Oryctolagus cuniculus: one gene and its partner. The protein of the gene in region 1 interacts with the protein of each later gene in a pairwise test. Links are inferred from orthologs where the notes say so. Each region holds a gene or a part of one and is shown in the gene's direction. Other genes may lie near its edges.

Region 1 (3,808 bases):
GTCTCCCGTGGCAGATGCGGCGCCGGCGGTGGCAGGCGCTCGCGTGTCTGTTGCCTGATCCTGGCACTCCTTGCCTCTTGATGGGGAGCTCACAGCCTCCCGCGGGGCGGCTGATGCTTTGTCCCCACAGATGTGAGCTGTGATGAATGGGCCTTCTCTTTGCTGCCTCTTGATGTGGATCTGCTGAGCATGGAGCTGCCAGAATTTTTCAGGGACTACTTCCTGGTAAATGAGGGTCTGTGTATCTTGGTATCAAGGGTTAGGGACAAACGGGGGGTCCAGTGGGCTAGAAATACTAATTAACCTCTGTGCAACACACGGTCACAAATGATAGTGGTTTGGGGACTGAAGACTACAGGTTCATCTCCATGAGCCCCTTCGGGGCCACAGTGGGCCGGGCCGGGTTTCCCCACATTCTGCAGTTCCCTTCCAGGTGTCTGGGGCTGCCGCCTCTCCAGCTTAGGCACCTCAGGTTGATCCCCATCCCTGCAGGAAGGAGACCAGCGCTGGATCAACACCGTGGCTCAGGCTTTGCATCTTCTCAGCACCCTCTATGGGCCCTTTCCCAACTGCTATGGCATTGGCCGGTGTGCCAAGGTAAGAGCGCCAGCCGCACTGTTGCCCAGTAGCCTGTCCCCCTGCTCTGAATCGGCCTGTGATCACCCAGGGGCAGCTGGGATAGGGTGCTCATTCTTCACTTCCCTTCAGTTGTTCCAGAAGAGTCGCTCAGGGAGGAGCGCTCTGTAGCCAGCAGAAAGGGCCAGGGCCTCCTGTGCAACATTCCCAAGTCTCCTTTTCGTGGGGACAGGGCCTTTGAATCCTGGTGTCAAGGGATGGGGACACACGTGGGGCCCAGTGGGCTGGAAGTATGTCGGTACCTGATGTTGGCTTCTTCCTCCCTCACTGGTTTGGGGTGGGTAGAACAGGTTCGTATTGCTCACAGTTGCCTCCCCTCCCAGGGGTGAGAAGTATCGATATGGGAGCGGTTGGCTTCTGTAGGTGTGGGGCTGCAGCCGGGACCAGCACACAAGATTGAGAATGTCTTGGGCCCTGGCAGATGTCCTATGAATTATGGAGGCAACTGGAAGAGGAAGAAGATGGTGAAACCAAGGGCCGAAGGCCAGAAATTGGGCATATATTTCTGCTGGACAGAGGTAAATTGGGCCAGCACTCCTCTCATCTTTCCCTGGAAGGCTCGGGAACATGGGCCTCGTGGTGCAAAGTTAGGATCCTGAAGTCAGGGCTGTGAATCCCAGTGTTGATGAGGAATGTGGCTCGGGTCCTTTGGAAAGTAGCTGAGCTGATCTAGAGCAAGCCGGGTGGAAGGCCAGCCAGCCTGTGCCTTCACGGTCAGGATGTTGGTTTCAGACGTGGACTTTGTCACGGCGCTTTGCTCCCAAGTGGTTTACGAGGGCCTGGTGGACGACACCTTCCGCATCAAATGTGGTGAGTGCCGTGGCAAGGTGCACGCTGGGTAGGGCTTGTCGGGGGACTGAGGGCACGGCTGCTTCCTAGTCCTTGGGGAGATCTTTGCTGGCATTCTGCCAGGGTAGGAGAAGGCCTTGTTGGTGACCCCGATGCCCTTCCCTCCGTCCTCAAAGGGAGTGTCGACTTTGGCCCTGAAGTCACATCCTCGGACAAGAGCCTGAAGGTGTTGCTCAATGCTGAGGACAAGGTGCGGACTGGGCCCCGGCTCTGGGAAGGCGAGCGTCCCCTGGGCACAGAGTAGGCCCTGGACGTGGACCTGTTGATCCTGCACGTCTGGCCTGTGCCATCGTCGCCATGCTGATGAGGTGGGAAGGAGCAGGTTATGGTTCTGACCTCGTAAGCGCACCTGTCTTGTTCCCCGCACAGGTGTTCAGTGAGATCCGTAACGAGCACTTCTCCAATGTCTTTGGCTTCCTGAGCCAGAAGGCCCGGAACCTGCAGGCCCAGTATGATGTGAGGCTCCAAGCCTCAGTGGCTCCCCTTCTGACCCTGGGCCAGCGTGTCTCAGAGTGGGCGGCAGCAGAGGGCGGGTGGTTTCTCATGCCTGGGGTCCCAGGAGTTGACCCTAGGGGCGTCTCCCACAGCGCCGGCGCGGGATGGACATTAAGCAGATGAAGAATTTCGTGTCCCGCGAGCTCAAGGGGCTGAAGCAGGAGCACCGCCTGCTGAGTCTCCGTAGGTTCCCGCTGGGGCTGGGGGCCTCTGGGGAAGCGACCCTGCAGCTTCTTCCCGCCCCTTCGGCTGTGGGGGACCCTTCTCGCTCATCTGGCGAGTGGCGGTGGCATCGGGTCTGATGCGGGAGGTCTTATTCTTGTGGGCTTCTGTCTAGAACCAGGGACAGTCAGCTCCCTTTCGGTCTTACCCGCAGACATTGGGGCCTGTGAGTCGATCATGAAGAAGAAAACCAAGCAGGACTTCCAGGAGCTGATCAAGACGGAGCACGGTACCTGCAGCAGCCTGCTGGCTCAGGCCCCAGCCCCTCGGCTCCCCACCCCAACAGGACCCTGTCTGGCCCTTTCCTGCCAACACTGGCTCTGTGCAGTGCTGGCTGATGCCAGAAGTCGTGGGGCCCCTGGGCCCACCCCAGGGTTGGGGAAAGGTGGGGAGAGAGGTGCGTGTTAGCACGATGACATCAGGCTCTCCTCTGACGATTCCCAGCACTGCTGGAGGGGTTCAACATCCGGGAGGGCACCAGCTACATCGAAGAACACATAGACCGGCAGGTGAGCGGCCGGGGCGGGGGGCGGGGAGCGGCGGCCTGCAGCAGAAGGGACAGAGGGGTGTGTGTTTTGAAACCTCAGTTCTGGACTGTTCTTCCTCCGCAGGTGTCACCTATAGAAAGCCTGCGCCTCATGTGCCTCTTGTCCATCACCGAGAACGGTGAGCCCCAAAGACCGGAGCTGACGGTGCCAGGTTGAGACCCTGTGCCTTGGGGACGGAGGACGTAATTTCCAAAGACAAGTATCTCAGCAAACAGAATGTTGCCCCGTCATTTCGGGACTCTTCTTCCTGTAAAGTTAAGCAGCTTTTGTTTTGGGTGAACCCTCACGGGGCCATAGGGTGATTTCTTGCCCCACCCTAAGCAGGAGCATGTAGAGGCCACCCCAGGATGCGAGGTGTCAGCTGAGTGCCATGTCCCCCTCACCCCGTCCACGGCCCGCCTTCAACAAGCTTTCATGATCAAGGGCTTCCTAGAGCCACGGCAGCTCGCTTCCTAACGACAGACTTGGCAGCCTGCCGTGGCGGCTGGTTTACTGCTCCAGCTTCCAGCGGGTGACTCTCCTTAGAGCCTGCGTTCCTCCCAGGGAGTGCGTCGTTCGCTTAAGTTTCCTTTGTTGTAGTCGGAAGCCCAGTTCCCACCTCTGCGGAGGAAAACGCACGCGTGGGAACTCATCTAACACTTCCTGTGTGGCCGCAGCTGCAAAGCAGTTTCCAGTAGAACTGCTCTTTAGCCAGCAGGAAACGCGTGAGAGGTCCCTTCTTCCGCATGGTTTGCAGGAGCTCCAGCGTGCCTTCCTCGGCCGCCTGCTGACCGAGGGGTCAGGTGCGGGATTCTCTGCGCTGCGCATTTCAGGGCCCCCGCCCAGGTGGCCTCCTCTTTATACACCTGTCTCTCTGTCCTCGCCCTTAGGTTTGATCCCCAAGGATTACCGGTCTCTGAAAACACAGTATCTGCAGGTAAGGCCTGGAGGTGTACTGCGGAAGGAACGTGGTGGAGGGCGGTCACTGGGCAGTCTTGGAAGAGTTGGAAGAAGTCACGGCCTCATCACTGTCCTGCCTGCACTGTGGCCTCCCTCTTAGAGCCCCGCTCTGCCCAGCC
Region 2 (3,808 bases), on another chromosome or scaffold:
TCCTGTGATCCATTTACTCACGTCTCTGCCTCTTTTTCTGTTGATTAGCATATTTGATTCTTTTCTCTCTGCCCATGTTGGCCAAAGCATTGGGGCCTCTGGAGAAAAGCTTTCAGAATGCATTGAGTGTTGGCTGTCACAGATTTGTTTGAGATGAGGATTACTGATTTAGTTCTTACTATCTCGCAGGTATCTCATGGTCCATCAGAGAGACTGCTGGTAATAGTGGGTCTACCCATGAGGGGCGTGAACAGCTAAAGAGCCGAAACAGCTTCTCCTCCTGTGCACAGCTGCCCAAACCTGCTTCTACCTACTCCTTGAGTAGCTTTTTTAGAGGTAAAGAGTAATTGGTTAAAAGAAAAAGAAAGTCCTCTTTTCCTTTTTTTTTTTTTTTAAGATTTATTTATTTGAAAGAGTTACAGAGACAGAGAGAGAAGGAGAGACAGAGAAAGATTTCCCATCTACTGTTTCACTCCCCAAATGGCTGCAATGACTGCTCCACCTGGCCAGAGTTGGCAGTCTCTTCCAGGTCTCTCATGTGGGTCGCAGGGGCCCAGGGATTTGGGCCATCTTCTGCTTTCCCAGGCGCATGAGCACAGAGCGGGATTGGAAGTGGAGCAGTCACGACTCAAACCTTTAACAGCTTTAACCTGCTGTGCCACAGCACCACCCCTCCCCCACTTTTTCCTTTTTAAAGAAAAATGCTCATTTACTCTGGAAGAAAAAGGCCACTGGAGGATAAAGAATTATCGTTAGAGCTGGCAGCCAGGTATTAGGAATGGAAGTACTGAGAGAAATTCAGGAAAATTGGACAGGATTTCTAGAACATGATGAATATAACTGACATTAAGCTTTTGTCAGGTATTAGAGAAATTGCCTGGATCAGAGTTCCTCCTTACTCCTGTACATTGTTGTTGGGAACCCTTATGCATTGCTGGTGAGATTACGAAATGGTTTAGCCACTCTGGAAGATAGGATAGCATGTGTTCACAGAAATTAAACTTGGACTTACCATATGCTCCAACAGTTTCGCTTCTAGGTGTATACCAGAAAGAATTGAAAACAGTGACCCTTTTTTTTTTTTGCTTTGTTTCAAATCTTTATTTGAAAGAGTGAGGGGTGGGTGGTGAGGGAAGGACAGATATCTTCTGTTCCCTGGTTCACTCCCCAAATGGCCTCAATGGCCAGGACAATTAAAAATTTTTCTCTTGGGGCCGGCACCATAGCTCACTCAGTTAATTCTCCGCCTGTGGTGCTGGCATCCCATATGGGCACTGGTTCTAGTCCCAGCTGCTCCTCTCCCAGTCCGGCTCTCTGCTGTGGCCCAGGAAGGCAGTGGAGGATGGCCCAAGTGCTTGGGCCCTGCACCTGCATGGGAGACCAGGAGAAGCACCTGGCTCCTGGCTTCAGATCGGCGCAGTACTGGCCGTGGTGGCCATTTGGGGGGTGAACCAACGGAAGGAAGACCTTTCTCTCTGTCTCGCTCACTGTCTATAGATCTACCTGTCAAATAAATTAAAAAAAATTTTTTTTCTCTGTAGAGTGGTTGTTGTGGCGCAGTAGATTAAGCTGCTGTTTGGGATGCCCACATTCCACGTTGGAGTACCTATGATCAGGTGCTGCCTCTACTTGCAATCCAGCTTCTTACTGGCATGTGTCCTGGGAGGCAGCAGATGATGACCTGGGTACCTGGGTCCCTGCTACCTGTATGCAAGACTGGGTGGAGTTCCTGGCTTTGGCCTGGCCCAGCCCTGGCTGTTGTGGGCATTTGGGGAGTGAATCATTGGATAAAAGATCTCTGTGTCATTTTACCTTTTAAATAAATGCATAAATCTTTTTTTAAAAGAGTTTTATTTATTTATTTGACAGGTAGAGTTACAGATAGTCAGAGAGACAGAGAAAGGTCTTCCTTCTGTTGGTTCACTCCCCCAAATGGCTGCTACGGCCGGTGCTATGCCAATCCGAAGCCAGGAGCCAGGTGCTTCTTCCTGGTCTCCCATGCGGGTGCAGGGGCCCAAGCACCTGGGCCATCCTCCACTGCCTTCCCGGGCCACAGCAGAGAGCTGGACTGGAAGAGGAGCAACCAGGACTAGAACCCGGCGCCCATATGGGATGCGGGAGCCACAGGTGGAGGGTTAACGTAGTGCGCCACCGCACCGTCTCCTAAATACATAAATCTTTAAAAGTATTTTTAATGGCATTTCATATTTCTGAAATTGAATAAAAGCTTATTTAAGCCTTAAGTTCTATTATTGCATAGTAAAATTCTGTAAACACTGTGTCCTTAACCAAGTGCTGATGGCTCTGGCGACTGTTCACCTCTGCCTTATGTTCTTTACCTTTAGGTAGAACTAGACCTGGAAGTTTCCAGTCCCTTTCTGATGGTAAGCATTGAAAACTCTTCTCTCAGTTGCTGTGGTTAATGTTATAGGTCTGGGGTACAGCCTAGAGAGGCGTGAGGATAGATGACTAGATGAACCATCTTCTGAATCCACCATCATTAGTAAAGAAAACTTCTTGTGCTAAGTGAAGAGTTAGAGATCATTCTGGCTACAGGGGCAAGGAATTACTTCTAGGGATGCCATCTTTGGGGAAGAACTGAAATCTGTATTTGACCCTAAAGATATCTTAGGAGACCGCAAGTTAAAAAAATGAAGTAAGTTAGAGGGGATCTCCAGGGAAAAGGAACGACAGGGAACAGGACTCACGGTGGCCCTCGGAAGCAGCTGTGTGTTGTTTTCCAGCTCTGTCGGACACACCTGCAAAAAGCTATGCTCCAGAGCTGGGAAGACCCAAAGGAGAGTACCGGGTGAGTTGTATCTTGGGCTAGTATGACGCTTTACAAGACAAACGTGTCTTGACATATGTTGCCTTGCTTGATCTTCCTAACTCTTTGAGCAGCTATCCTCTTTTATGGGTAAGAAAACCAGGTTTCCAAATGTGAAGGGTTGCCTGTGGTCTTTCGCTTGGGAGAGTAGAACTTGAACTCAGAAACTGTTTTGTAATTCAATCCTAGTATACTCTTCTTATCCATGATGCTACCTTTTGAAGCCTGTAATTTGCAACTCAGTGATCGTCACTACAATCTGAAAGATTGGTGGAGCTCAAATTCCCATGAAACATTTAAAAAACAAATTAACTCATAAGGAACTATATTCTAAAATCAGAAAAGGAACATGTCTCACACTTCTGTCTTCTGTTGGCCAAAGGCTTTAGTTATTAGGGTGTCACAATGTGACTCTCAGTATGTCTAGAGGTTAGAATCTTAAACCAGTAGGTATAGGGTCACTGGTTTTGTCGATTGATTCATCCCTCTTTGATCTGTCTCCTGCCTGTGTTGCCCCTGGTATAGTCCCTTCGGTAACTCAAAACAGGAGCATCCCAGTTCTTCATTTCTCTTCCCCTCTCACTAAGTGCATCTCCCATGGGGCCCAAGACCACGCCTCTGAGGGGAGGAGCTGGTGCACTGTTAACTTGCTGAGATTCATGTGTTGCTCGTATTTCAGGATTACAGCAATGACTGGAGCCCTAGTGATACAGTGCGACGCCTCCGGAAAGGAAAGGTAAGACCACTGGAGAGAGAACTCTTGTGGGATTCTTTGGGAAACTTGTACCCACAGAGAACAGTTCTGAGTTCTCTCCTCAGTTTCCATTTGTTAAATCAAGTGACTTTCAGAGGAAAATAAATTCACTGAAGTTGAAAGCTACAAGATTTCTGATTCTCCAAAGCTTATGTTCCTTAGGTGGGGTAGTGAGGAAGTAGTGATGGATGAGAGTGAAAAGTACATTGAAGAGTGGAAGCAGGGTT

Evidence for each region.
Region 2: the proteins of VPS33B (region 1) and VIPAS39 interact in binary tests that used the Homo sapiens proteins (3 or more experiments, as listed by UniProt). The link is inferred for Oryctolagus cuniculus from reciprocal best matches to the Homo sapiens genes VPS33B and VIPAS39.

What each region holds. Positions count from the first base shown.
Region 1 is NC_091443.1:100,277,380-100,281,187, forward strand, and holds part of VPS33B (vacuolar protein sorting-associated protein 33B), read left to right. Parts: intron 1-130; coding exon 131-225; intron 226-492; coding exon 493-597; intron 598-1,057; coding exon 1,058-1,154; intron 1,155-1,368; coding exon 1,369-1,446; intron 1,447-1,601; coding exon 1,602-1,675; intron 1,676-1,854; coding exon 1,855-1,941; intron 1,942-2,072; coding exon 2,073-2,163; intron 2,164-2,356; coding exon 2,357-2,431; intron 2,432-2,646; coding exon 2,647-2,711; intron 2,712-2,813; coding exon 2,814-2,868; intron 2,869-3,619; coding exon 3,620-3,666; intron 3,667-3,808. UniProt on the Homo sapiens protein: May play a role in vesicle-mediated protein trafficking to lysosomal compartments and in membrane docking/fusion reactions of late endosomes/lysosomes.
Region 2 is NC_091451.1:23,202,407-23,206,214, reverse strand, and holds part of VIPAS39 (spermatogenesis-defective protein 39 homolog), read left to right. Parts: intron 1-189; coding exon 190-336; intron 337-2,345; coding exon 2,346-2,384; intron 2,385-2,744; coding exon 2,745-2,809; intron 2,810-3,506; coding exon 3,507-3,563; intron 3,564-3,808.